Lepisosteus oculatus: one gene and its partners. The protein of the gene in region 4 purifies or fractionates together with the protein of the main gene of each other region. This does not show direct contact. Links are inferred from orthologs where the notes say so. Each region holds a gene or a part of one and is shown on either strand. Other genes may lie near its edges. The genes, in order: gar1, ctdp1, lsm4 and wdr77.

Region 1 (7,386 bases), on a different chromosome or scaffold from region 4:
ATTAAAATGAACTAATTAAAATAATGAGGTATCCTGGAAGACTGGGATGCTACTATAAAGAACTAGAGCTATGTTAAACCAAAAAAAGCATGCATAAAAGCATGCCACTTATGACAGTAAATAGTATTTTTTTATAAGAGCTACAGGACAAGCTTAAAATAAGTAGCATGGTTGTCCATAAGCCATGTGGCAACTCTGAAATTATCAGGGCAGTTTTATCTGTATAATAAAAAATATACTGTGGTTGGGAAGGAAGTGCTGCTCAAAAAAGCCAACTGCAAAAACTCAATCATGCTTCTGCAAAAAAATAGCTTTTTCTTTTCTAATTTAATCCTACGAATTCCTATGGTTCACAGCTGCATACTTAAATTAAACCAGAAAAGAAATTAAGATAGCAATGCCCTTAAAACACGTCTACAAGACATTTTGACAAAGCAAATATTGACAATATGCATTGTGTTCTTCGATGTACCATAACAGAGTTGATATAATGTACCCAAGTGGTGTGTTATATTACTTTTTTTGACTGGTTTTAAAATGGTCCACATAGACTTCAGTTCTAAATGTTATAAGAAACGATAATATATGGAAGAAATACTTCATCCTTTTGTAAGACCAGCGGTCTTCATATTTCATATAATGTCAAAGCTAAGTGTAACTGTATTTTTTTGTTCCCAACCAAGCAAATACCTTTTTAAAAGAAAGCACCTAATTCATAAAGATTTTTATAAAAGGTGACATTCCTTCATTTTGTAACTCAATCTCTTAACATGTAATATTTACATTTCTACAACCGGGTCTGCCAAATTAATTATTTTGCTAGTTATCTTCAAAATAATAAACAGCGACTGTGTACATCTCAGTAAACCCTACACAGAATAATATTTAGGTCTACAGTCAACGATAAAGTTTCTTTACCAACAACATATTCTGGAGGTCCAAAATCTTGTCTGTTGAAGCCTCCTCGGCCACCACCTCGAAATCCTCCCCCACCGCCCCGGCCCCCAAAACCTCCTCGTCCACCTCGATTAAACCCCCCTCCTCTGCCGCCTCGGCCACCTCCTCCACGGAAAGACATTGCTAGAAGAAAACAGACAACAGTTCATGAGGAGTAAGGACTTTCTCCCACTGGCCTTTTGGTCAGTGTTGTATCTGCAACACAAAAAAACGTATTTTGCTCAAATATAAACAGCAGACGTCCAAAGAGCTGGGATGTATCCTGGTTTCTGTAGTATTGAAGGATACATCAGTAGTTAAGGAACAAAAGCTACAATCAAAACCGTACAGTCTCACATTTGCATACAGCAACATCGACATGATACATAAGTGTTATAATTATTCATCAGAGCATCATTTTTTATTTATTCAAAGCATGACAAGACATTTATTATATTATTTATGACATTCGGGCACTTAGATCATTTACTTACATTACTATACTAAACAGACCCACTTACTGCCATTTGAGCAACTCACAAAACATTTCTGATCCTCCTGTTTTGCACAAGAAAAAAAAAATTAAAGTGAAATTTAAGCCCTGGCCTCCTAAACGTCGACTGCAAAATGCAGTGTTCCATTAAGTTAAAAGAGTTTTGTGTTTTTTTAGAATGTGTGACCTAGATTTCGTGATCCCACCTTGGTTGACCATCTTGGCTCTTAAACGTTACTCCAACAATTAAATGCTTCAACAGGTAAAAGCATATTTTACCTCAATTTCCAATTGAGAACTACCAATTGTGAATAACTAGGAATGAGACAAACTTCCCTAAAACCTGTCTCTCTGCAGAGCAATCTGACGCAATGTGGTCTGCCTTATCCTACCGAAGAGTTAAAACTCATTAAAATCAAGGAGTTACTTTCTGCTTGAAAACCGAGACCGAGTTGATCAATTAATCCTAATCCTCCCCTGGAAGTGCTCAATCACCAATTCCACAATTATGTGAATCTTTCTTTTCTAAAGTTCCTTGTGGGAACGTCTTCTAACACTATTGAAAACAAAAACGGTTAATTAAATTTTAAAAACCTACAGCTATACTCCACCAGATTAGGGTATGATGCATAAGAGTATTAATAATATTCTTAATTAGTATAAAAAGTATAACATTAATTCATATTATGATGTGTCATTGAGAAAGTGGGCTGATAAGACAGCATTTTGGGTAAAACCAAATTACAACAGAATAAGATACAAAAAAAAACCCGTCTGATACTAGCTTGCTCGGCAAATTGAAACTTCATTGAAATGATTAATCTGACACAGTTTGACCAGCTTTTTGTAACAACCTCATATCCTGACTGCAGTTTTTTTTTATATAAATGGGTACTAGTACCAGAATTGACTTTCACTTAATAATACATAAATGAAAGAAAACAGTACTACTCCCTTTTAGCTCAACTACTGTTCATGCTTCGCATGAATTTTGGATTCGCGGGGGAAAAAAATTAGAATCGGGTGAGATCGCAACAAAACTTACACTTTAGCTTTCAGTGGACAAAGCACATGTTCCAAAATGGTAATGAATAAGATGGAGCCACTTTATTATGCCACACTGAACTGAAGTGCGTTGCTCATTGAAATTAATCGACATTACTTTTTTCACGACGTTCACTTTGAAACCATGCATAAATATCTCCTTTAATTTAGGGGGAAGTGATGAAGACAAAAATGCCGATTAACTCTTAATATGTGATTGAACCAAAGCATACAATTATTTATGTAGAAATTAACGTAGGTATGAATTGTGAAGTAATTAAACTATAACCAAACTGTTCAGTTTTAGGTACTCCCCAAAGCAAACTGACTCATAAAATAGTTTGGAAAACTTCCTGGACTTTAACTAGACTATAAAGCATGACCCAATAAAAAATCATAAGCACATCTTAAAAAAAAAACATTTACCTCACCTTTATCTGAAATACCGCCTGCTCCCAAAATGCCCAATATGTTCTTTACACCACCACGCCGCGCTGATTTCCTACAACCACACGTGGCCTTTACCGTAAGTCAGTTGTAACCACAAGGATTCACACTGTCGTAAAATGCTTGTAATGCAAATAATCAGGAAATCCTATTTTGATGATCAAGCTCATAGTCACAGATACTGGAATCATTACAGCGTATTTGTCAAAACCTTAATCCTCAGTTGTTTATCTTTAGTTATAAACTAGATGTTCTTTTCATGTAACTCATAAGTATTTCACTTCTAATGATCTCTGTGATTTGCTGTACCGCTACTTGTAAAGCGCCCTGAGTGGAGTTTCCAGGAAAGCACTAAATAAGTGTGTAAGCAATTATTATTATTATTATTATTATTATTATTATTATTATTAAAAGGGTAACTGCAGGTAACAATGCTGGTTTAGTTGAGACCTTTATAACCATGTTTCCTGTTTCTTTTGTTTTTATATGTGAGGTGTACTGTAAAATTCCCATTTTATTTAATTCAGTATACTTTATAAATGTAGAAAAAACTAAAACAAGAATGCTCACATTTATGGGGAGGCACGGTACGATAGGAAACTCTTTACGTTTGTGACAGCGGAAGCTGTCAATTGTTGAAAGGTCAATTGTTAAAATACTTCCGTTTCTGTGTAAATATCATGTGATTTATTTCATTTTCTACAAACCTTCCGTAAAAATCTAGCAGAAGCAGGTAATATCGTCTTATTTTGCATTATAAGTCCAATTAGAGTATTCTGCCTTTGAACAGGTTATCGTATTTTTTTTCTTTTTTAAAAGGAATCATAGACACATTGTCTTTTCGTTTCCTTTTTATTTGGTTCAGCCGCTGAGGTCTCAGTTTGAAATTAATTTGTAGTAGAAATTAAAAGTAGGAGATAGGTCATCTAGCTTAAAAAGGTGACATATAGTGCCTCTAAATTATCCTATACATTTATCTTGACACTGATTTTGATAAAACGTTTATTCCTATTTCTTTATTAATTAAGTGTACGTTTAATTAACATTATACATAATTAATAATAATTAAACGTAAATGTTAATGCTCGTTGTCTTTGACATTAGAAGGAGAAGTGCTATCTATTTTTTCGTTCGGTCCATTCTGAAGCCCTAAATATTTTCTACCTCCTTCTCCAATAATATCAGACATTAATTTACTACTCATAAATTATAATATTTTTATTTTAAAATAATACTTATTTGACAGAGGTATTCCCAATAAATATAATATATAGTCTTATTTATTCTGGCCACTGGAACTAGTGGCAATTAAGTTGTTTTAATCTACAGTATCAGAAACATTCACACTTCCGTCTAAAAATTATATTATTTGCTGAAAGACGATTTAGTTTGAACGAGTGTTAAATTTGATGTTGGTGTCAAATGTAACTAAACTATCACATTTGAAACATTAAGAGATGTAGATTACTGTTATTTAGATTTGCAGTTTTATACATTTACAGTTTTATACATTTCCTTTAATAAAACAGAGTTTCATGCAAAAAAACTGGAGTTAGAAACATTTCTTGAAAAAAGTATGACACTTTCCAGTCCTTGCTCTTGTCCTTTCATCACAACATCTGATTTTAGTTGTTTTACTTTCTAGGTTTTTAACTTCTAATAAAAACACAGAAAATGGCAGATGTAAGTATTTACTGTATAAATTGTCTAAAAAATGTTGTATGTTAATGTTAGCAAACTGCAGATCTTTTTTTTTTTCCGTTGCTGCAGGATGTTAATTGAGAGAAGACAAACCGTTACCAGTGAATGTTGGAAAACAAATCTGATACTAATGGATACATATTTTCAATTTCCACTGTTGCATGAATCTTATCATTATGTTTTTCATGCAGTTCCTAACTTTGGGTGTAGGAACTGTAAGTGCATACAGTTGTATACAAATTGTAGCCTGAACAATTACTGTGTAACTTAAGTTGGGTTTAAAATATAACACATATTAGGACAGTTTGAAATACAGCAAAAACAAATATTTCTAAAATCATTGCAAATTGTCCTAAATATACAATATTAAAAACTATTCACCCTACAGCAATTAATATTTCTTTCATTTGCCTTTGGTGCTGATAATAATAAAAAATCACTTCCTGTAACCTTTTAATTTGTTCTGACAATATTTAAGTTAGATTTCTTACTGTTCTTCCATGCAGAACTTCTCCATCTCCCCCAAATTATGCTTCCTGCTCTAGCAAAATGCTTTATGTAGTACATTCTGTAGTACATTTCATAAATATTCTGCTGTCTAGTCATATGGAGGTCGTGTTGGTCAATCAAAAGCGGGATTAACACTAGATAAGGAGGTGTGATTTGGGAGCTCTTCAGTAAATAGGTGAAAAGTTCATTTACAGTTTTTATTTTTAGACAGAAGAATTACAACATTATGTCTTGATCTTATCAGATTTCAGAAGCTAAGCAGGTCAGTGCTGTTAAGGGTGATGTCCAGAGAAATTCAGGTTGCTGTTGTAAGTTGGTGTTGTTGGTAGAAACAGTAGGTGGCACTCTTCCCTTTTTTTTCCAAATCCTGTTCTAATGCCCCAGTATACTCCATTTCTCCAATACTCCATAAGAACAATGTAATTTTCATTGTGAAGCACTGTGGGTATTGCACTTCAGTGGTAATTCAAACAGGTGCTTATCTATATGTAGAAAACTTTGGGATAAAAAATTACTCAAATGAAAGGAAGAAATTGCTGTATTACTCAGACTTCATCAAGATCACTTCTAGAATCTCTTTCCACATTTCAGCTTTGAGACACTTCCAGGTGACCACAAAGCAATGCAATATTACATTTCTGGCCATCATCTTTAACAAGTGTTCATATTTTCATTTATTTATGTATATGGAATGTACCCTTTCAGTATTTTTAAACCAGCTTTGTTACATTGTGTGAAGGGTATAAAAGTGCTGTCTGTAACCACAAACCTTCTCATAATGGGAATGCACTAGTAAACAGCAGATCCCTCCAACAGCTATATCTGATTGTTTTTCACAGGAGCTGAAGAGGTATCTGTATAAGCAGTTGCCAAGGTTTGAAAACTTTAATTTGTTTTTTGCTATAGAGAAATCTATATTTAAGATATATCTAAAAGATATTTAAGAATCACTAGTGATGAAAGAGTGGTACAACATAAATGTTAGGTGCATTTTCTATGCAGTAGGGTCTCAATATTTGTGAGGGTTTGGCGCAGAGAAAATAGCAGAATTGCCATATAAGCAAGACCACCTTTATACTGTTATATAGTGCACTATTGCATATAGTATGTATGGTTAACAGACATGTGTTATCCCTCCCCTTATATGATGATTAAAGTACTAATGCAGTAGCGTTAAGTTAATTAAAATAACTAACACAATTGTAATCACAAAAATTGTAGAGATCAGTTAGCTTAATTTCTCCTCTATGTTCAGCAGATACCTGCACTTTTTTCTCTCTGCTTGATTGATGACCCACTGTAATGAAAAAGGCAGCTCTCAGTGAGCCTGTAAGGTCATCTCCAGCCTGTCAATCCCCACACCATAAATTCAACCAAGATATACTTAATAAAATATTACCAAGATGTTACTATAAAAAAACAAGGTGAGATGTGGATGTTGGGTAGTGGGTACTTGGGCAGGGGGAAGAGAAACACTCTCACAATCCTTGTCTGTTTTGCAACTAGTTTGAAAGTTGTGCTTAATAACCTCCGCCTCAGTTCTCTTCTTTCGTTACAAGAACTCTACCCCCAGACCAAACTGTGAAGAAGTGAAATTGCAAATGTTATATTCAGAAGTATCTAGACCCTGCCGTACTTTATTGCTTAATCATGGTTAAGCAAAGTGAACTGCAACATGTTTTTAAAATGTTTACACCGTTTTTAGACATTTTGTTTTTGTGGACTGGACTTTAGTTATCTGTTACTACAGACAAACAAAGGATTGTTTCACCCCCCCCCCCCCCTTTTGCCATGAATCAAGCACTAAAATATCAGTTTCCTTTAGAGGTAATAGATAATAGGTTGGAGAGTGTTTCCCAATGTGAAAGAGAAGTAAATACTTGGGTGTCAAAACCTCCTGGAAAATATCTATGACAACAGAAAATTGCCTTGACAAAAACACTAAAAAAATAGCTCATGGTTTATGACGTTTCCCTATAAAAAGGTAAAACTGTGCCAAAATTAATTATAAAGTTCTGGCATTTAAACTTTGGCCTATATGAAAACAGCACTTCCCCTTCCATGTTAAATTACACTAACATTTTCGATTCCTCCAGGAATCAGAAAACAGAGTTTTTAATTAATGGCCTACAAGTAGTTTGATATTGAAGTTAATTCCTTATGAACAAAATGATTCAACCTTTGCTCCTGATCCTTGTGCTTTATGGCAAAATTCTACTTTGATATATGTTGCTAAAGTTTTCCAAGATGTTACA
Region 2 (7,923 bases), on a different chromosome or scaffold from region 4:
AGCAGTAAAAGAATACTGTAGTCACACGTAAACAGAACTGAATGTCTTTTATTGAAATTTACTCTGTCTTCTGGCAGTCTCCCATCCATCATCCTAGATGTACTCAGAAATACATCCTCACTGTATAGGGGTGTGAGTAAAGCAAAGCTCATTCTAAAAAAATATATTTTAGGATTTCAGTTTATACAGCCCATTTTGTTATTTTGTCTTAGGCGTGCTCACATTTACCGTGTTCAAAATTTACCTCATCCAGCCCCTGCAGGCTGACGTTTGAGGTCCACCAGTAATCAAGGGAAATCGTCAATCCAACACACAGTGACCTGCATGATCACAAACACGATTCTTCAGTTCAGAACAGTCAAGCACTGTGAATACAATACAGTAGTCCCCCATCCCCAATTCTGAGGCCACCATCTGAGGACACCCAGCAGTGAATTGTGTATTTACACAACATGTCAAACTTTGCCCTTTGGAAATGATACACTGGGCCTCACAACACTGCCTTGTCTTCCATATTCATCTTAATATGTACTTGCTAAAAAAAAAAAGATTGAGGAAAGTTATTGAAGAGACAGCTGTAAGCTAAGTACATGAATAGTTCCTACAGCCTCACCCAATACAGTAAGCCAGACCATTTGCAATTACTAAAACCACTCCCTTCTTTGAATATCCAAAGAACAGACTCCTCCATCGTTTTTATCTGCATCATTTTTCCTGGAAGTCCGAACTTGTAATAGAGCTTCACTCCAGATACTGGGGCTTATTTTAGCATCAGATAACCGAGCCTAAAAGCTGCCAGTTTCTGGAGAATCGAGCGGTGAAAGTTGGCAACCCAAAATGCACGAAACATTTCAAGCCATCCAGCAGGCAAATGTGAAAAAAAACCAAACCACAAACACACCTGCCAAAACGGCCCAGCCCTTCAAACAAGATTCTCATCCTGCGTCTCTCCCGCGGCCCTGACAGGGCGTACTGCACTCCCAAGACCAGCGGCACGCCTGCCGCAGCGCCCACTAGCACCTTCTTCAGAAAACCCCTTCTCCTCATCGGCCTGGGGAGACACATCAGCCGTTACCATCTACCGCTCCAGTTCTGAAGTTTCTGTCCAGGTGCCGTTTCCGAGGACGCCTGTTGCTAGGACAGTACACACAATCCACTCTCCTCCAGAAACATCTTGCCAGCAGACGGTATACATCACCTTGCAGACCAGGAGCTCAGATGGGCCAGTGGGGCAGAGCCTGGGTTGTGGTGCAACAGTGCCCAGTGGCGCTGACACAGCCGCAACTGCAGGACACAAAAACATAGAGCCACTTAATCCAGAGCCAGACGTCTTTCTGTGTGCTGGAACACCAGACCAAACTGTTTTTTTTAAAAAAAAAACCAAAACAATTCACAAAGCACAACAATACACATTACACCAGAGCGAGCAATATCTTAACACTGCCAACAATATAGGGGTGTTTTTTTAGAGAAATTCTTGCTCTCAGAGATCCTTTTCAATTCAACCTGATGAAAATATCCTGGACCAATTCCCTATGATCAAAAGCCCTTGAGGACAGTTAAGGTTTCCGAGTTTTAAACTTTGCAAATCCCATTATGCAGAGCACCACACCCATAAATGGGCACAGTAATCAGATGATGAAGGGCTTTCTTTTTCATGCAAACAGGGTGAAATGTTTTTAGAAGCGGCACGGTAGAGAGCAACTGCTAAATCAAGGCTGCTGGTGTCCATTCAGAGGCACAGTTGTTTTTATTAGCAGTTTAAGAGAACATCTTGTTACAAACCAGATGATTTAAAGATAGCGCTTCAGTGTCAGGGACCTGACCCGAGACAGTGGGATCTGTCTCATTCTGAAAGAGCCGATATGAAGGGGAGAAACTGGGAGAAAGCTGAAAGTGTAAGCGAAAGGAAGGACAGCCCTTTTTTCTCCTTGTCTCTTCACTGACATTCACCCTTGTAAGAGTTTCGACACAAGGCAGCTTGTAACTTGCCCTAAGCCATGTATTGAAGCTGGAGGGGACAGATAAGGTTCTATTAGCTTCAAGTCAGCAAGCAAAAAAGACCGACGATCGTTTATTCCACACCTTATGTTATTAAAAAAGATTCCCGGGGATTGTTCCTTTCTAAAGGCTGGTAATAATAACTAACGCGACCAGTGCTGTTTCCGCATTAACAGTTAAATGGGTGAACAGCAGAGCAATAAGACATGCGGTAACACTACAATGATGGTAAAAACAGTAACCAATTTGACGTATTAACGTGGTTGGAATATTGTATTCTACATATACATTAATTTATGGTACATCAGAAATATTAAAGGGGAAGACAGTTAATTCTTAATTACCCTTTCGTCTGCTACAGACTGATGCATTTGGCATGATCAATACAGCGTGCAACTGTGAACTGGGAGCTTTGCGAATAATTGTTCTTGCTGTCATTACACCAGCACTATCAAAGACTAACCTCACTTGAAGACTGCGTCTTCCAACTGACACCCATTATCCCTTTTTAATATTCATAAAACTGCACCGAAAAAAAATACTACCCGTTCTGTCTCGGTACCAGCGAAATCTCACACGCATAAAAGCACGACACTAGAATTTAGAATATTTTGCAAAGTGAACTTGTCACGAGAAAGCCGTCATTTGGCACTACTACGGACTGCATTTCTTTTCTTGCCCGTTGAAAAAGTTGTCAACCACTTTCAAAAATGCAACTCGCTAAACCCTTGAAGTGATCTTTACTGTGTTCATTCGCTTACCGCTCTGAAAGTATCTCCGGCCATGTCGCTAAGGAGAACAATGTGTAAAACCAGTCTATGCCCGGACAGTATATGGAAACGCAGGCTGTGATTGCCAGTCGCCCTTTGCCTATAGTTAACGAGCAAGGACTCTGACGCCTCCCCTCGCTATTGCCAGGCTCGCCTTACACACGCACTGGGGTCATGTGACACGTGGGGTGACTGACTAGCGTGAAGCTAGCGTCGTTAAGCGACGCTAGCTTGGCAGCACCTTTCAAAATAAAAGCGTGACTCCGGAGCTGGCAGCTGATTTACGCGTCACGTCACGTGGACGGGATAAGACTTCCTGCTCTCCTTCCCGGTTGGGGTTTTTAAATTTGTGAAGGTGCCACAAAATAAACGAGGGAGGAGGTCCATACACCTTTTAGAATACCGCTGCCTGTATTTATAGTGTAATCTTTATCAGCTATAGATTTGTGATTACCGTTCCTCCCTGGCCTTATTTATTAAGGGTAGCGTTTTTGTAATAGGTAGAAACTTGGTGCAGAAAAGGACAGCGCACTGAGGTGGTTTTAATCTACAGTTTATTTCGAATCAGAATATGACAAACTGCTGCTCTCAGGTGGGATGGATTGGTTTTGGGTTCTAAAAATGAGGCCATACTGGGCCAAAAAGAGACTTTATAACTGTCAGTGAAGTACTTTAAAATGAACCCATTTTATTTGGAAAAAAACATATAATTAATTTTTTAAAAATCAGTTTACTAAGAAGTAAATGTGCCAGCAAGAGCCCTTACAGATGTCATGTTTCATGACGTCAAAGCTCGCGTTAAAATGTGTAAAGCTTGGGCTAAGGGTTAGAGAACATGCAAACTGTTTCTGCTTGTTTACATTACATGTTAGGGTGGTGCTGTGGCTCTGTGGCTAAGGATCTGCACCTCTGGCTGGAAGGTTACCGGTTTGTATCCCATGGCTGGCAGAGAAATCCTACGCCTTTGGGCCACTGAGCAAGTCCCTTAATCACAACTGCTCCAGGGGCACTGTATAAATGGCTGACCCTGCACTCTGACCACAAGCTTCTCTCCCTGTCTATGTGTCCCATGGAGAGCAAGTTGGAGTATGTGAAAAGACAAATTCCTAATACAATAAATTGTATATGGCCAATAGAGTGATCTTATCTGCCAAATGTTTTCCCAGACTTTTCTATATAAATCTTTCTGCATTTCCTTTATGGTTTCTATAGTAACTGCTTATCCTCCTATTTTATTAGCATCATATGTATACTTGACTCATTTATTCTCTATAACAGGCCAGAATACAGGTCATTCTGTAACAGTAGGAGGAGCCTCAAACACCCCATCATAGGCGTCTTAAGTCATTGTCTCCTAGCAACAGATGTGTCGACTCACAGACATTCACAAATTTCAGAATGATTACTGTCAATAAGACATTGAGAACCTTTATTCTTTCTTTATAATGCAATACTTTTGAAGACCAAAATATTTCATTTCAACAAACAGGTAAACTAACTGAATGTAATGAATATGTTTAAGCTTCACGGCCGTCATCAACATTTGTTCTAACAAATAAGGATGCTTACATAGATAAGTGTAACAGCTCATCGTTTTTTCATTATTACCAGTAGGTTAAAATATGAATTAATTTAAGACCAGGAACAATATACATTACATAAAGCAAGACACTAACAAAGAATACTGTATTATGCTCTTTTTTAAGAGGCAAACTGTCACCAAGGGGCTTAGCATCAAATTCAACTGTCAAATTGGGCAGTATGTCAACATTTCACGATGATTAATACGACTAATACCGTTTTAAAAGACAGGGTAACTTTGTATAGCAAAAAGTGGTAAAATAATTTTAACTCCAGTAACCGCGAAGTTGTTTTTTCTCTCAGAAACTATGGATGATATCTGAATTACTGAATTACTGTCCAATTCCAGGACCAAGATTTAAACAGGTGCCAGGCCGTGAGCATACACCTTGTCCTCCCGCAGCAAGCCCGGTCCTACCGCCGCCTACCTCAGCACCTGGAGCACCAGGGGATTCAGTATCACGCTGTTACATCACCTTGCATCATAATTACAGTTTTGTTGCCAAAGCTTACTCCAAGTCCTGAAAAGTAAACGAAATTACACAGCAATTGTGGATTATGTTTGGCACACTATTATACCTATTTAATGCCCCCAAAACCTAGCACTATTCTTAATATTTCGACGCACGTCCACTAGCAGGATAAAAAAAAATATCTGTACAGCTGTAAAAAAAAGACCTACTCTGTACCAAATCGCTATCCCATTTAAAAACGTCATACTGAACTGGGCGAAAATATAAGGTGCTTAATGATAGTGCCTTCCCGGCTTCGCGGAGCCGGAGCTGCTGTGAGGCGCTTCCCCCTGCCTCCTCCTCCACGGCGGCGGCGTCGTCTCCCGGAAGCGGTGCGGCAACCTGCTGCCTCTCGGAGGCTTGTGTTTCCTGTTGACGAGCGGGAAGAGCGAACCTGAACGCTTTGGTTTCATCTGCTGCTGCTCTCTGGTTTCCACTTTTCGCTTTCCGATTGCTGTCTCTTTAAAAGTGCAGAGAGCCGCCTGCAGTTCCGATTCGATCTGCAGCGGTTCAGGGCGCATCGCCTTCTCGGCTAAAGTTTGGAGGGATCTGGGGGTGCGACACGGATGGAGGACCCGGCAGACTCCGGCGGTGGTACCGCAGCTCTTGCGGGCCCCTCTAAGCAGGTGACGGAGATCCGCTGCCCGGCGGGGGCCCGTCCCCTGCGGCTGCTGGAGTGGAAGGTAAAGCCGGGATCGTATGTGAATATCGACTCCGTCCTGGCGCTGTGCGCCCCGCTCCCGGTGGAGAGGGAGGCCGGAGCAGAGCCCCAGGGGCCGCCGACTCGGTCGACGGAGAAGAAGGTGAAATCGGACCGGGCCGGCGTGGTCAGAGAGCTCTGCTGTCAGCTCGGACAGGTCGTTTCTCCGGGGTAAGTGGTCAGTTGTGGGCTGGGGGGACATGAGGGGGATTGCGGGTAGAAAGCGGCGCTCAGTAGTCATGCTTTGCAGAAAATGAGTGTTCGTGCTCGTGTTGATGTATCGAGGCGCTGCAGGGGTTTAACTAACTGTCCGAAACGGGCAGAACTTTGTAGGAACACACTTGCAAATTGATGTAGTCCGGAGAAAAGTTGCTTAAAGAGAAAGCGGGGTGATCATCAGATCACGCAACTGCGCGGCTTGTTCTCCTGTACGAGTGTGGATGAAGTGTACGGGGAGTGTTGAGTTAACTGAAAACTTATAACTTCGTGGTCCAAGATTGAAAATAAGAAAAGCTCAAGTTGTCTGGAGCCGCGTCTTGCGTTTCGAAGACAAACCCCTTAACATCTTAGTGCGTGAGACGTAGTTAAAGTTAGTGCAGACGGTCTTACAATTGTCTTTTTTATCTAGATGGCGCGTTTTAAATGCCCAGGGAAAGCGCACAGCGCAGTGTTTTCGCCAGGCCTACTGCACAAGACGTGTGTAGCTGCTTGTTGTACGAAAAGGGGGTGTGTTTGTACGCGTGCTCTTAAGGGGTAATGGCACCGTTTATGTTTTTTCCAGCCCAGATTGCCACTCGTGCCGAGTTTTGGAGTGCAACAACGCTTGGGTCTTCCCGAATTGCCACCGACGAGCATTTTGTTTTGCAGAGGACGAGTCGCAATAGCAGCGTCTGTGGAAACTGCTCACGGGGTGGGGGGCAGGGCCGCGTGCTGGAGCTGTCAGCGTCACGTGACTTAGTATTCTGTCAACATTGCCGCGTCGAGCTAAAGCACAGCCGGGCGGTTTATCATTCACTTAGTTCTTCTGTCAAACTCTGCTGTTACTGTCCTAATCTTAGGTGCTGTTCAGATTGAGATTGTAATGGTTCATTGACGTGCTGTTTTCCAGTGAGTGGTCCCAAACCCTGGTCCTGGGTGCTCCCTGTCTCTCCTGCTTTCATCCCAATTGAGCTGATCTGCTTGTTCTTTTAGACTTGTGTTTACATATTTATGTATTACGTTCTTAGTTACTTAATACACCTGTTGGATACTCAGCATACAGAACAAAGCCCTTAAGAGTTCGTGCCTTTTTTTCTGTCTGAATAGTTCTTCATATGTGATCGATGTTTGATGCACAGACAGTTGGGAGTGACACTGAATGTTTTTTTTTTCTTGTCTGCTGAGGTCCACTTGCTTACATTCCAGTAGCTGTATTGCCCTGCAACTCACTGGAGCTCAGCAGGTCTGAGCCTGGCCGGTACCTGGATGGGAGACCTCCTGGGAAAGCTAAGGTTACTGCTGGAAGACGTGTCAGTGGGGTCAGTAGGGGACACTCACCCTGCAGTCTGTGGGGCTCTTATTGCCCCAGTATAGTAAAAAAAAAAAGGTGCTGTACTTCAGATGAGACATAAAGCCAAGGTCCTGACTGTGGTCATTACAATCCCAGGGTATTTCTTAAAAAGAGTAGGGTTGTTTAACTGGGGTGTCCTGGCCAAATTTCCCATTGGCCTTTACCAGTCATGACCTCCTAATAATCCCCATCTTTGACTCTGTTCTCCTCCCCACTAATAGCTGGTGTGTGGTGAGCATACTGCCTTACTCTGGCTGCCATTGCATCTGAGTCCCCATTACCTGTAAAGAACTTTGAGTGGAGTCCAGAAAAGCTCTATATAAGTAAGCAGTTATTATTCCAGTCCACACAGCTGAATGGGGGTGATATCTGAACCTTAGAAATTGGTAGAGGTTTTAGTACAGTTGGTACAGTGTTTTGAGACATGAAAGTTTACCTCAACTAGAAGATTGATCAGTCTGTGATTAAGAAGTCAGATGGAATAAACTAAACACTGGATTATTCACTAGAGATGGTCAGTAAGCAAATGTAGCAGGGAACGTATAGGTTAGGGAGGGGTGTTATGAAGTTAAATTCAAAGTCTGTAAATGATAATGCTAATATCATGAGAACGGTTATAAATAAGAGGTCATCCTGTCCGTTTGGTAATTAGTATCGGCTTCAACAACATGATGGGGCAGCTGATTCCACACTCCCTCCACTCTTTGTGTAAAGAAGTGCCTCCAGTTCTCGGGTTTAAATGTATTTACACATAGTTTCCACTTCTGTCCTCTGGGTCGTGCTGCTCTGTTGATTCAGAAGCCATCCACT
Region 3 (7,082 bases), on a different chromosome or scaffold from region 4:
TAAATCCGTGCAACAATGACTGATCTGCTTTTACAATAATCTTTTCTCACATTTGATTGGCACTTTGCACTTTTTTGCCATTTTCCCAGGGTAAAGCAAGATGTGCGATTGTAGCCAAGTATGAATTCAGAATTAAGTTCTGTATGATTACATTGATAGCAATATACTGTATAATAGCATATGGGTAATTACATGCATATATACATACATATGTGATAATTAAAGGCAGCAAAAGGTTTTTATATTTTACTAAGGCAGGAAAGTTGGTGTGTTCTTTAGGGAAAGAAATTGTAACCAAGGGGACTGCTGACCGTGAAATATACTCGCTTTGCTTCCAGTCTCTAACAGATGTGAACTTTTTTTTGTATGTTTTTATTAATGAGAACACAAATCATTCTCATCTCCCATTCCAGTGATCACACAAACTGGCCCTGGATGGGTAGGAGACAGTGAATCACATCTAAATGTCAGGTTCATGCATTACAATATTAGCTCTAAAGGTTTTGGCTTAAATCACTTGCCGATTCCTAATTTGTCCTAAAGGAGGACCCCCCCACAAAGTGTAATAAAGCGGGCAAAAAAAAAAACCAATATTTTTTATAATCGAGATCTCACATGCTCTGGTGTCGATTGCTCATGTTTTCCCAAGAAGCCCCAGGTCACTGGGTGGTATTTAGAAAGTAAATGATTCAGGTTTAGTAATGATTTAATTAATGAACTTGGGTCTGGACCACAGCTATACTGTAGGGAGCTACCGTCTTCCTATTAAAAAAAAAAGCAATATTTTTAATCACTGAATATGGATAGAATATAATCCCCATGTTTGCATGGATTACCTCCAGGTACTCCTGTTTTCTCTCCGTCCAGACACATACTGGCAGGTTAATTGGCTTCAGGGAAAGTGGCCCAGGTGTGGGTGTCTGCTGGTCTCTTTGTGCCCCATCGCTTGCCAGAAGAAACTGGGGCTCCCCTGCCACTCTGAATTGGACAAGGAGGTTGGAAGAGGGAGTGATGGAGGATGAAAGTTCATACTTTAATGCAGTTGTTGCTAACCCTGGTCCTGAGCTACTCCTGTGTCTGCTGGTTTTCATTCCAGCTGAGCCGTTTCATCACTGATGCAAGTTGATGCCTTTAATTGACCCGTTTGCTCAGTCCTTTCTTTACCTGTTTTTGTGTGCAGTCCTTGTTTTGAACAAACCCTTCTTGAAGCGTATTGTTCCAGCAATAGATTTGTTTGCAACTTTATGCCGTTTGTCCTCAACTAGATCATTAGGAAATGGCTAATGTATTTCTGTTAAAACAGTTTGGAACAAGTTTTATGTAAGTAAGGTTTGTGTTGAACACTATATCAGACACAACCACAGTGAGAATTTCTGTCCGTCTCCTGCAGGGGTCAAGCTGGTTACATTTCAGCTAACACACACGAGTCGTGGGAGTTCTGACTTGCAGCAATTGGCCCAAGGTGATCTTAGTTAGAAATCCCATCCAACATTTTAAGGGCTGAAAAATGATTTTAAAACCTGCCTCATTTAGAGGATTGAAAGATATTCGACTTGAATAAAAGCCAGAACAAACGGGGTTCCCTTATCACCAGGGTTGGAAACCACTTCTTCAACGAGATAATTTTGTGCTTACAATTAAAAAAAAAAAAAGCTATTTTTAGCATTTGTACAATAAAACCAAATTGATTACAATAGCAACATTACTTGTACAAATAATAACCTAAATGGATGCTTTAGGTACAGTATTAACCTTTTATGGTATTTACGATAATGGAAAGGGTGCTCTCTAAAATAAGGCTCAGTAGCAAACTCGCCGACATCTCACATATCCACCAGTCTGACGTTTCATTAATCAAAGGAGTGGCATTTTAATGGTCTTAAAAATTTAGAAGACATCTTTGAGTTATTCATACAACTCTTCAAAGGGCGTTTATTTCTCAACTTCAGGAAGGCCACGATATGCACATGGGGTCATGGAACAGTCACCGGAATAAGACATAAGGAGTGGAATAAACACTGATAAACATTACCAACTCTGTGATCAACGTGCAGAAGCTTGTTCAGGACAGAATATTGATTACTGGGGTGCTTGGAGCAGCCACAGCACTGATAGACAGTGACCTTTCCAGCAAGCCACAGGAGAGTTTGAGAATATACAGAACAGAACAAATGAACCACAGATATGCTTTCTTACCGCGTGCTGGCAAATAGGGTTTCAGAACATGGAGGGGGGGTAATGACTGTAGGTTTTTGTATATATTGGCAAAGGTTATCCACTCCAATCGAACATCAATCCTTCCTTCAAAAATCTCTCTCTACAACCAAATACTCTCTGTCTCTCAGCCAGTGTGCAAGGTATTATTTATATTCTAATGTGGTAGAGGTATGTGAAAGATATTTAGGTAACAAGACTCCCAGATGGAACTGCTCCCATATAGTCAACTAGCCACTGCAACAAATCACGATATAGGGAATGCGACTACTATTGCAAAATGGTCACTGGCTATTAAATATAACTTGTGACAGATCTCCCCCCCGTTTTGATGGTAACGAAGGGTGAGGAATGTGTACACTTACCTTCGTGTAAATTAAAATGAGGCGGGGTGGACGGACACCACTCGTATCCCATTCAGTATAGCCTGGTCATCTGTACTGCCCTCCGACATGCACACGCGCCGTTATCTCGGGGAGAAAAAGATTTTTTCTCATCCTGCACAAACATGCAACACATAAGGACTAAGGATGAATGGAGTCTTTGTGCGTTTTCTTTCGGGTTCCTCCGTCTTCTTTAAAGATAACTTAAGCTTTCATTCACGTGGTATTTTTTTTTTTAATTACCCCAATCCCTAGCAAACACATTAAATACAACCTTTGACACTAGTAACCTGAAATCTCCTTTTGAGATTAGGAGTGTAACCTGCAGCCCACCCTACAAGACTGCATTAACCCATACTTGACTCCTGAAAGCGTGATAATGTCGGCCAGCAATGACATTAATCAGGCTCACCTTATCAACAAAAATCTCACGAAATTTGCTTTTCATTGTCATTTCGTCGGCACAGAACCTATTTTTAATTTCAGGTCTGCTGCTCTTGAAAAAACTGAAGCCGCCATTTGCGCGATCTGTCGCTTAAAAAACGCCACGAAATATTTAAATGCTTTAGGTCTGTGTCCTAATTTAAAGAATAACTGAATTCATTCCTCAACTCTACACAGCTGTGCATTTGACAATGTTTATTCTAAACAAGCTGAAATGAAATGATTAGGAATTGCTATATCAGTAGTCCTGTCCTGTATAGGATGCGCCTATCACCAGAACAATAAGCATTCTGATGATAGGTTCGGAAACACGAATAATAGAAAACTATTGAATATTAATAGCAGATCAAAGGTACAAAGAGAAAAATATGTGGACATAGTTGTTCCAAAGCAGAAGATTTGTATGCCTCGCTGAATCATGATTAATGTTCCCTTATTAAACACCTTTAAATTATTTCGATAAATCTAATTAAACTCGTTACTAATAAAATCTGAACAATTTAATGCTGTCATGCTAACCGAGGGATGTGAGCTGTTGAGCTCGAAGTTTTGGTGGGGACCTTTTAACTGAATTGGCAGAGGGCCTAGTTAAATATCGAGGACTACGTGTGATATCACATCCTAAATCACATGTTCACATGGGGGTCTGGATGTCTCCAAATGTGATTTTTCGTAGGGACATCTTCAGATCTATTACGTCTGTCAAAAACACACTTAATACATTATTTTAGAAAAGGTAATCGCTTCCATCATCATATATATATATTACATATTCTTTCTTTTTCACACTGAAATATATATTTTTCTAAAGTTCCTTTGCTAGCTTTGTAATATACTCTTCCGCGTGTTCACTCTGCAGAACAGAAGGAGGATGCGAGCATGTTTTTACGACAGAAGCATACTTTACGGCAAACTGTACAAATCAATTGGCGGCAAATTGTTATCTCAAACTAACTATAGCATTCCAACGAAGAACCCTCCTTCGCTTCCTTTTGATTGGCTTATTTTACTCTTCACTCGCGTTTTTGAGGTATGATTGGAGAGTACAGTTATCCCTCATGGTTGTATGATTAACAGGCTGGGTTAACACAGTGAAGCAAAAATTATAAAAGGAAGCAGAAAGAGAATGGTGAGTTTTGCGTTTTGTGTACGAGGTTTGGGGGTTTATAGGTACTTATAGGTATTTTTATAGGCACTTTTACGGGAAAGGGAGGAGATAATTATTAAAATGCGGAAACGTGTGTTTACATCGCCCTTCACAGCGAGTAGATGCGATACTTAGAGGTTTAACTCGTATACCCGCATTAACAAGTACATTGCTTAACTTTACATTATCTGCAGAGGAAAACGCTTAGTTAATTCCATAGTCGCAGAAATGGTAGTTTTCATCGTAAGTTTCGTGCTCAGAGGTAACTAAATGTCTGTCATTCGTTAACATAAATCTCAAACAACGTGCCGCAACAGCAATTTAACATGAAATGCGAGTCCTGCGATGTTACCTATACACGTGTGTTACACGGCCTGCAGCTCTTCTTGAGTCTCTCGTTTGCGTTTACATTTTCCCCGTGTGACGAGCAGATTCGTACTGGTCCTCTGAATGTCTCTAACATCTCGTGTCCAAGTACATGATGTAACCGATTTTCAATTACAGTTAAATCTCTGGATAGACAAGTTAACCATTAGTCAAAACGTATATTCTGTTACCAGTGCGTTGAAAGTCAAATCTCTTAAAAATCTCTTTAAATCACTCTTTAGTGCTGTTAAAAAAACGGATATATGATTCACATTTCGTTATAGCTTGTGGTTTCTGCATAAATAATTATTTACAATATCAAGAGACTTACTCTTGGTCTAGACCTGAGGATAGCTGGCTTTAATTTTGCTAAGCCAGATGCTGCATTTTGCAGTGTTAGCATATAACTAACTGCATTTCCACTGTGTTCTGGCCCTGTTAGTTATTAGCACAAGTGATATGAGGGCAGCTCCATGTCATCTAGGTTTCAAGGGGGTGGTCAGCACCTGTAATGTGTACAAGAGCCTAAGTGTTATTACTGAGCAGGGCTGGGCCTTATGATGGGAGTCCTCTAAGGATAACCAGGTTTCTGCTGTAAGTAATAATTGCTTACACTTGTATAGCGCTTTTCTGGACACTCCACTCAAAGCGCTTTACAGGTAATGGGGATCCCCTCCACTATGTAGGCTCCCTGTGCAGCATCCACCTGGATGATGCGACGGCAGCCATAGTGCGCTGGAACACTATTAGTGGGGAGGAGAGCAGAATAATGAAGCCAATTCATAGATGGGGATTATTAGGAGGCCGTGATTGGTAAGGGCCAATGGGAAATTTGGTTACAACCCTACTCTTTAACCGGAATGCCCTGGGATTTTTAATGACCACAGAGAGTCAGGACCTCGGTTTTACGTCTCATCAGAAGTACAGTGCCTGCTTACAGTATAGTGTGCCCGTCACTATACTTGGGTATTAAGACCCAGATGGATCACAGGGTGAGCACCCCCTTCTGGCCCCACTAACACCTCTTCTAGCAGCACCCTTAGTTTTTCCCAGGAGGTCTCCATTCCAGATACTGGCCAGGCTCACTCCTGCTGAGCGTCAGTGGGCTGCCAGCTGGGAGTTGCAGAGTGATATGGCTGCTGGCCGAGTGTATTGAAAAAACAGACTTTTAGGGTTCTGAGTCACGTCTTTTCTTTTGTATTACTACTGTATTTCATAGAAAGTGGAATTTGTTAATTCTGCTCTTAAAAATATATTTTTTTGGTATCCATATCACAAAGTTTTCCTAAACCATTGTTGCTTTTCCAGCTGCCACTGTCATTGTTGAAGACTGCTCAGAATCACCCTATGGTAAGTAAGTGCGCATAAAATAATGCACTAATAAAATTACAGGGGCACCCTAATGAAAAAGGACATGAAATGTCTTTTACTCAGAACTGTTTTATCCGCTCAAGTTTTCTGCCAGCACCTGTAGCTTTTGATTTCCTATGTTTTACTCCTGTATTTAATGATTTCCTATTGAATGATTTCACCATGAAAAAACATCATGGTGAAAAGTATCAAGAGATCATATGGTTACATGTGTTGAACAGACAGAAAATGCTTTAAACAGTGTAAGAAATAGCTCTCATGGTCATATTGAGACAAATGAGCCTGTTGCTTTAGAGAAGGGTCCTGTATCCCCAGGCCTGTAGTGTGGGGTAGTGGTCAATGCTCTGGACTCCTGACAAGGAGTTAGAGGGTTGTGTGTTCAGAACCTAAGTGGTGATAAAGCTGCCAGACCCTTGAGTAAGGTACTTTACCCCGAGTGCTTTTGTGCAATAGATCTGTGTAAATCAAAAAGTAATTATAAACTCTCTCACACTGGATATAATTTGTATTCCAACATTTTTATAATAAAAATGTTTGAAAATGTGTTGTACTTTGTCGTCCGCTGTGCTATGCGTTTGTTTTTTGAATGAGATCTTTTCTTTTGTATTGCTCTTGTATTTTCTAACTGTTCAGAGCCCATCCTGACCCTTTTATTCTTGTTTCAAAGCTGGTGGAGCTGAAGAATGGGGAGACATACAACGGTCACCTAGTGAGCTGTGACAACTGGATGAACATCAACCTGAGAGAAGTCATCTGTACATCTAGGGTAGGACCTTTCTCATTGCTGTGTAGCGGGACTTGAAAGAGATGTCGTTAAATCTTTCGAAGTGTGTGACAGGTGGTGATGTATAGGTGCTGCAGAAGCTGAATTTGTACAGTTAAGGTACTGACCACTAGGTGGCTCTGTATGTTTAGAAAAGGAAATACTAGCTTTTCAGGAAAGCCCTTTAAAATCCTGATACTGTTATTCAGGTCTCCTCTGGTCTGATGAAAAGAGATGGAAGAGTTTTCACTGAAATCAAAGTAGACTTATAAGCCTGATGGAGATCAGTGTCTTAAGTGAGCTTAAGAATATAGCTTAAGAGAGTTATTGCCCTGGGTGAAACTGCAGCGGTGTGATAAAGACAAGAAGTTGTTTTTCGAACCTAACGAAGACT
Region 4 (7,769 bases):
AGGAGGTCATATCCACTGTCCTAATATGGATGTCAACACTGCAAGTAAAAAAATCTGATTTACAGAGGTCTATTTCAAAGTTTTACTCTTTTATCAATTCCTACATTTCCATTTTTCTGCCACAACGCAGCACAATGGTCCTGCTCGATGGATTAAGGCCCAGCACAGGGCAGCAGGCACGAGCTCCTGGCTTTCAGAGAGCAGGCAGTGAAGAGCACACTGACCAGCAGTCCATGCTGCCACTGACCGCCTGTGTCCCCTGGGCCAGCGGGCTGACGGTAGTGACGATGTCGTCGTGGTGGTGGTGGCAGAACTTGCTGACGATCAGGGACTCGTCCTCAGCCAACTCCCACAGCTCCACCGCGCCTGGGACAACAGACAGGCAGACATGGAAGAGACCACAGTGTGTCAGCTCTCCACACACTCACAGCAGCACAGCAGTCGCCCCAGACACTTCAGTCATAGCAGGGATAACTAGTTCCCTCTCTCTCTCGTCACAGAAGCCCAGTTGGGTTCCCACTCCCTTACCAGAACATTAAGAGGACAATCGAACTATAACAAAACCTCAACCAGCCACTCACTGAATCATCAGCGCTCTCCTCGACAGAAACGACAGAACAAATCGCTTTCATGTTTCACTATCAGAACTGGCTTCAAGCTTCAGAGAGTAGGAAGATAATTTACAAGGGGGTGAAATTCTCCACTATATGGGGAATGAGATGCACCATCACTACTATATGGGGAATGAGAAGTAACAATGTAGCAGTTGCATTTTCAATTGCCATTTTCCTGCAAACCAACACTTCTTCAATTACCCCCCTAGCATTCACCAAACACCTTACCCCCTAGCGTTCACCTTCCTAACACTTAAGGCTGTTGCACCCAACAGTTTCACCCAATGAAGCCAATAACATATGGTATTTAAATATCAAATATATTATAACATACAAACAGATTTTCTCTTTGCTGGTTTAAAAGTAATACATTGCTTCTAGCCACCCTCCCATACACTCAGAGCACGACAAAGGCTGATCTCCAGTGCTGAGCCCAGCTGGCCCTGGTTACTGCTCTGCCACTCCAACCAGAACAACGAGGAAACTCACCGGAGTCCGAGCCCACGAGGATACTCCGCTCGGACACCCACTTCGCGTCCGCCACGCCGGCCTCGGTCTGCACCCCGGCGCTGCAGTGCCCCTCTTTCGGCGCCAGCTGGGGGTCCTTGAACACCCAGATGGAGCCCAGCCAGCAGCGCCCCATCAGGCTGGAGGCACTGAGCAGCAGGGAGCCATCTGGAGGAGAGAAAAACAAACGCCACAGCGTTCAGGGCAGAGGCACTCCAGGGAGAACTATCAGCCAGCTACTGTGGGAAAATGGGTCACTGCTCCACAAGGAAGAGCACACCAGCAGAAACTACGAGAAAGAGCATTTAAAATAGAGAAAGGGAGGCAATTCTTTAAGGCCAGCCACACAGCTGTGGTTTATTTCAAGAAATGGCTGGTAAAGACCCTCAGATTGATCGGGTTTCAGCAACCAAAAGCCTACATTTTCCAAATAAGTGTAACCTCTCTTATGTAGACGTACCAGGGAAAGGTTTAGTTCTGAGAAAGTACTGACGTCTACCTGCCTTGAGGCAATATCTCCTAATGGAAGCCACACTCCTTTACTAATAGAACAATTACGTTTTTAATTGATGTTTTATACCCAGATGCATCTGCCTAAGCACGTACTGAATTAAAGACAGGAAATGGACCTATCAATCCACTCCTCTGCCCGTAATCCCTTTCAGAGCACCCCTGTCTCCTCACTGTCCCGTTCTCAGCTGCCTGTAGCCTGCTGCCCTCTGTCCCTATCCCGTCACCTAGATATGCAACACCCCACAGTCCCCCCTTCTCCCCCCGGCACCCTGGGGGAGGAAACACCTAGCAAACAAAATGAGGTCTTTTTGTCTCAAAAAGAAGAAAAAGAAAGCCCTCCCCATCAACAGCTGACACGTTCCAAAATATAGGCTCTTCCGATTGCACTTATATCTGCGGTTATGCCCAGCTAGGAAGCAAATTTCTGTACCGGGCACTCGGATCGTACAAAAGCACTAGAACCACGCTCGTTTTCACACTACGCTGGCCGACACGACGGGACAGCTCTCCGGACCGCCGGGCGGGCCTGCGCAAACACAGCAGTCACGCTGTATGGCTTCTACCGCCGCCGACTACCCGGGTTTGTGGTCTCGCAGAGTTTTAACGAAAGATCGCATTCCGAGATAACCTGCGGCTCCTGCCAGATAGTAAGAGACATTGTGAACGGCGGCATAAACGTTCAGACACACGGCGGTTACTCGGTAATGTACAACAGGTTGCTACTACGAGAACTTTGATATCACTATGTTTCCTGTGCTCCTTCAATGCACAGTTGAACGGATAGCGTGGCTTTCATTAAAAATAAAACATACAGCCACTAATGGCATACGAAAACAGAGTGTCAGGTAAAACGTTATTTTGACCGGTTCACCGATACAATTAAAGACCCGAGATCAAACAGGCCACATGCACGCCATGTATAACCCACAGACGACACGCCAATTAAACACGTAATTAATGATTTACCTGCTCTGTACTGGACTGAGTCCAGATGTTTTTCCATGCAAGCCGGGGCATTGGGAGGTATTTTCCAGCGATTTTCCTTGATCATAGCTGTAGTATTCATTCACACGCGGCTGCTGCTGCTTATATCAATTAACACCAACGAACTGGATTTCCGTTCTTTACTCTCCTCGATTGCTCCTGGCTCCGGATTTTAGGTTCCACATACAACAAGGTGCCAAGCCCGATTTCCGAATCCACCTCCAGCAACCCTCTCCACTCCAGTCCTCCCTGCCGAAAAGGTGTCAACTTTACCCTGCTGACACGCTCACTCTCCTCTTTTTTCCCCCGATCCAGACCCGCGAATGAATGAGCCAGAACTGCCAAGGTCCATCCACCACGTGCTTCCGCTTCCAGGTCCCCCCTCTGCACCAGCCCTGCCTCCGCTGGCCTCGCTCTCGCGCGAGTACCGGTTGCTTGGTTACCATTTGATTTGCCGCCCCTTTCCGCATATAATCATCACAAAGTGCAGATAGAGTACTGCAGAGCTAACGTCGACCCTCTACAGGGTCTTATACAAATAAAACATGTCACGATTTTGATTTTTATTCCTAAAAACGATTAACTTGAATACTTATTATTTAAAAATGTTTATCCAAGAGTTTAGTTTCATGTATATTCCAAAGAATTACTGATCAAGTAAGCGCAACTGCGCCTGTACTTCCTAAGACGGTTGAGGAAGGCTAAGATATGTCCCCAGATCCTCACTAACTTTTACAGATGCACTCCAGAAAGCACACTGACAGGCTGCATCACAGTGTGGTATGGCAACTGCAGTGCTGCTGACCGCAAAGCCCTACAGCGGGTGGTGAAAACTGCCCAGTCCATCACTGGGGTTACCCTCCCATCTATCCAGGACATTTATGACAGCGGTGCTTGAGGAAAGCTCTAAGCATGATCAAAGACCCCACACACCCCAGCTACAGACTTTATGATCTGCTACCATCTGGAAAACGGTACCAGAGCATTCGGGCCCGGACTACCAGACTCAGAGAGAGTTTTTACCCCCGCACTATCAAACTGTTCAATTCCCAGCCTCTCTCACTCTCACTCTCACCTCACCTCTCACCTATGATCTGAACCTCACAGTGCCTTCTTCCTTTCTTTCTTTCTTACCAAAAACCCAAACACACATTGAAAATCTACCTCTACCATACATGTCAAAAGCTCACTCCCCATATTTTCTATCCCTTTATTTTATTCTGTTAATGCATATTTTTGCACATAACCTGTTACCTTTTTGTTGTTTAGCACATTGCCTGTTGTTGTTTTTTTGCACATCGTCTGTTGTTGTTTTTTGCACACTGCCTGTTGTCTCTGTCTTTCTTTTGCTACACAATTGTATTGTTGTTGTTGTTTTTTTCTCTTTGTATTACTTATGTCCAAGAGCTAGCTAAATAGCATTAAGTTATACCATATACCATGCTCATGTACAGTGAAAGATACATCATTTTTAAACACATTAGTAAATATTTTACCAAATTAATATTCATGTTATACACTTAATCAGTAATTCGGGAGTTAAGTGCTTTGTTCGCAGTGTGCATGAGTATAATGGACCATGTGGCGATATTTGTAACAATTATTTATCATTCTCAACTGTGTACTTTTACGTAACAATTTTGACAGTAATCGATCATGTGATAGACGAATCAATCTCGTTATGACAAGAATAACAGCTTCCCGTGCAGCCAGGCCTTTGAGCGATAAACAGCGGCATCCACCTGCTTTCGAAGTACGAAAAAACAAGTAATGTTCGGCGAATAGGCAGTTTTTCATCTGGTTATTGCATTTTAAACAATATGTTTAGCTTTTCAGATTTTTGAAGTTCCAAATAAAAGATTCATTATCAAATTACAGGGGCTAGGTATGCAACCACTTGGACTGAGAACTGATCAGTGAATATAAGACAGCAGAGATCACTGGGGGGATGTAATTAATGGAGTACCTGAGGGATCTGTACTTGGATTACTGCGGTTCCTAATTTGTATCAAGATTCTGGTATAGTCAGTGAACTATTGAAGTGTGAAGATGATAAAAAAAACCAGAAGAATTAATAAATACTGTAGAAGGACTTTTCTTAATGTAATTTAAGCCTGGGTTAACACCGGGCAGATAATGTTATTGTAGACAAGTGCAGAGTATTGTATGCCGGTTGCAAAAACGTAAATTATAGATACAAAATAGGAAACACTGAGCTTGAAAAGACATATGAAACTGCTTTAAGTATTTATATTGACACATCATTTACACCTCTTAGGCAAAGTGAGGAAACACAAACACAGAATATGTAGTTAAAAGCAATTTAAATCAATGGATATTATGGTACATTTGTATCATACACTAATAAGACCTAATTTAGAATATTATGTACTGATCTGGTCACCGCATTGCAAAGAGATAGTGACAGAGACAGTGCCATGTTTTTTGTTGCTGCAGTCTTTTGAATAAGATGTTAAACCAGGGTCCTGACTACAGTATGTGATGTCAATAGAGATCCCATGACACTGTCTGTAAAAGTAGAGCTTTTAACCCTTAATTTAAATTAACCCCAGTGCCCTGACTATATTCCACTATGGGCTGAATGATCTGGTCACAATTAAGTTCCTCCTTAGTTCAATTTCTTAATCAGTGTCTTATGTCTCTGTCTGATCTGTTGTGCAGTGGGGTTTGCTGGTACAAAATGGCTGTTACCCATCAGCCTAGTGGGTGGGAACTGTACTTATGTGTTAGCGTTTTTTGTAACTCAGGAAATGGTTTCAGTAAATGAGAATTAAATTAGAAAAAATGTCCATCCAGTTCCAGTCAGCCCATTTTTGAAGCTGATTGGTTCTACAGTGAGTTGGTTAACAAAACCATCCATCCATTTTCTAACTGCTTCTTCCAATTCAGTATTATGGGGCAGTCGGAGCCTAACCTGGCAAGCAGTGGGCAAAAGGTGGGGTACACCTTGGATGGGAGGCCAGTTCATCACAGAGCACACACAGATACACACACATACTCACTTGCACCAGGGCTAATTTCTCAGAAGCAAATTAACCTACCAGTATGTCTCTGGACTGCGTAAAGAAACCGGAGCACCTGGAGGAAACTGTATTGAACATGTAGATAACATACAAAACTCGAAACAGATATCACCTCAGGAGCAGGAGTAATGCTAAAAGCTGTGCCACAAGAAATTTGTCAACAAGCTGTAATCTTAGTGACCAAAGCCATGTAGTATTCCTGGTATCCACAAGAGAGCACCAAAGAACTGTTAATTTATCCTAACCCTCCCACCTTTGAAGCAGGCTTTCGACCTGAGTACATGTCAAGAGCTAGGGAAAAAAATGATATAACAAACACTTGAGGAACACGACGTGCAACTCAGAACTCCACTATGAAATGCAAATGAACCTGTATTTACTGGTGATGTATGCGTTGGGTTGCAATAGGTCACAGAGCTGCATTTTTATTCCTTTATTTGAAGAAGCAAATGTAATTCTACAAATCTGCATACTCAAGGTCACTGTGGAGTATTTTGAATTAAACAACACAAAGCTGGGACTGTTCAGTTTCCATGCCACGGCTAGCTGTCACAAGCTCACCCCTGAAAGTCTGTTGGTAATCCATTGCATTATTTTAATTGGAATAAGCTTCCTGTGTGCTGAGATAGACAGACAGATTTGGTGTGACCCACTGTTCACTGCTCTGTGATCAGCAGGCATTCGATTTTGCAGTTGATGTTGTCCATTTCCTTTGTGCAAATCTGGAGCTGACCTGTGTATAACCCTCAAAAAGAGTGCTTCTAGGGACAACAGGCGATGGTCAGTGAGAGGACAACGGGTCTCATTTTCAAGGCCTTTGACTTATACATGAACCAGCTGCTGTAGACAGCAGAAATAAACATAGTGTTGGCCTGTTTTCTTCTTAAAGAAATCTCTTTCTGGATTCTGTGTACTCTATTCCCAGTAACATAGGTGGTCTAATTATTTAATTAACTGCCTAATTGGAATACTACCAATCAGGTCCTGAGGTGTTCAATAGGTAATTGTGCATTTAATGAAGGTTTCGAGTAATTGACTGTAAAAGACCTTACAAATACCCTATACATGTGTGATATAATTCATTAAGAAAATAATTAGGTTAATTGTTTAATAGAATATTTAGGTTGGAAGAAAATTCTGAATACTCAGGCTAGAGGTATTTTACTATGACATCTGAATACTATGCTATTCCAAGTCTTTGCTCCAGCTTATCCTTAATTAATTAGTGATCTGCGTCACTGGGATTAGATAAGCAATTAAGGATCAGTTCAGTGTGTACCTACCATCCAGGGCTAACAAAACTACTTTTGAAGAGTTCAGTTGCACTGCTTTTCCCTGCTTTGTCTCTCTGATGGTGACTAGAAACAGTGCTATGTTTACACTGTTAGGAGGCTCTGCTGGATCGTTTAAGTCTGATCCATTTTTTAAAGACCCTGCATAGCATTCCTAACATTTATTTTCTTTCATTTAAAATAAACATTATGGATTTTCTGCTTAAAATCTCTTTTCGAATATCCCCAGTGGTTTCTTATGTAAAAGTGGGATGTGGATTGTGGAGGTAGGACATTCTGCTGGGACACTATTGTCCAAGTCCTTAAAAACTGCTTTTCTTTCTCTCTGCTTCTGTAGTTCTGAATCTCTCCCCATTGTTTGTGCTCAACCCTATAGCTGGACTCAACCACTGTGGAGATGACACTTGGTAAGAATGTTTTAATTCAGAATACGTAATCCTTGCTGTACTTATACACATGTTCTATAATACTGTTGACTTAATAATGAACAGTTCACTTATTTCCATCAGATTATTAACCTTTCTTGGGTGATCTATAATGTATTAACACTTTAATATACTGTATGTTAGGGCACTGTACCATTATAGTAAATTGTTGATATGAAGGTCTAAGCCACAGACAGTAAATAATACAATTATAAATGCATCAGTAATGTGCGCTTAACATGATAAGCCAGAAAAAGTCTTCCTTCCAGCTGCCAGTGAAGCTACACATACACACTCTTCAATAAACCTCATTTAAGCTTATGCAATGCTGTTTATCTAGTTGCTGGCTGCTTTCCACTGCCCTGTTGTCGAGTGGGTTGCTCTGCTGTG

What was found.
Region 1: the proteins of wdr77 (region 4) and gar1 purify together in Homo sapiens (affinity purification with mass spectrometry; 3 studies listed by BioGRID and IntAct, with this or other methods). This does not show direct contact. The link is inferred for Lepisosteus oculatus from reciprocal best matches to the Homo sapiens genes WDR77 and GAR1.
Region 2: the proteins of wdr77 (region 4) and ctdp1 fractionate together in Homo sapiens (co-fractionation; 3 studies listed by BioGRID and IntAct, with this or other methods). This does not show direct contact. The link is inferred for Lepisosteus oculatus from reciprocal best matches to the Homo sapiens genes WDR77 and CTDP1.
Region 3: the proteins of wdr77 (region 4) and lsm4 purify together in Homo sapiens (affinity purification with mass spectrometry; 3 studies listed by BioGRID and IntAct, with this or other methods). This does not show direct contact. The link is inferred for Lepisosteus oculatus from reciprocal best matches to the Homo sapiens genes WDR77 and LSM4.

What each region holds. Positions count from the first base shown.
Region 1 is NC_090696.1:56,886,802-56,894,187, reverse strand, and holds the start of gar1 (H/ACA ribonucleoprotein complex subunit 1), read right to left. Parts: upstream 3,007-7,386; 5' UTR 2,905-3,006; exon of another isoform or gene 2,900-2,904; intron 1,081-2,899; 5' UTR 1,079-1,080; coding exon 919-1,078; intron 1-918. Other genes in the region: ragulator complex protein LAMTOR3, read left to right, coding at 6,434-6,555. UniProt on the Homo sapiens protein: Required for ribosome biogenesis and telomere maintenance. Part of the H/ACA small nucleolar ribonucleoprotein (H/ACA snoRNP) complex, which catalyzes pseudouridylation of rRNA.
Region 2 is NC_090705.1:15,799,238-15,807,160, forward strand, and holds the start of ctdp1 (RNA polymerase II subunit A C-terminal domain phosphatase), read left to right. Parts: upstream 1-4,914; 5' UTR 4,915-5,430; coding exon 5,431-5,735; intron 5,736-7,923. Other genes in the region: adck5 (uncharacterized aarF domain-containing protein kinase 5), read right to left, coding at 245-320, 902-1,051, 1,199-1,284, 2,763-2,786. UniProt on the Homo sapiens protein: Processively dephosphorylates 'Ser-2' and 'Ser-5' of the heptad repeats YSPTSPS in the C-terminal domain of the largest RNA polymerase II subunit. This promotes the activity of RNA polymerase II.
Region 3 is NC_090724.1:3,861,279-3,868,360, reverse strand, and holds the start of lsm4 (U6 snRNA-associated Sm-like protein LSm4), read left to right. Parts: upstream 1-4,071; 5' UTR 4,072-4,167; coding exon 4,168-4,170; intron 4,171-5,862; coding exon 5,863-5,904; intron 5,905-6,592; coding exon 6,593-6,691; intron 6,692-7,082. UniProt on the Homo sapiens protein: Plays a role in pre-mRNA splicing as component of the U4/U6-U5 tri-snRNP complex that is involved in spliceosome assembly, and as component of the precatalytic spliceosome (spliceosome B complex).
Region 4 is NC_090700.1:36,485,210-36,492,978, forward strand, and holds the start of wdr77 (methylosome protein WDR77), read right to left. Parts: upstream 3,006-7,769; 5' UTR 2,701-3,005; coding exon 2,601-2,700; intron 1,290-2,600; coding exon 1,104-1,289; intron 367-1,103; coding exon 225-366; intron 1-224. UniProt on the Homo sapiens protein: Non-catalytic component of the methylosome complex, composed of PRMT5, WDR77 and CLNS1A, which modifies specific arginines to dimethylarginines in several spliceosomal Sm proteins and histones.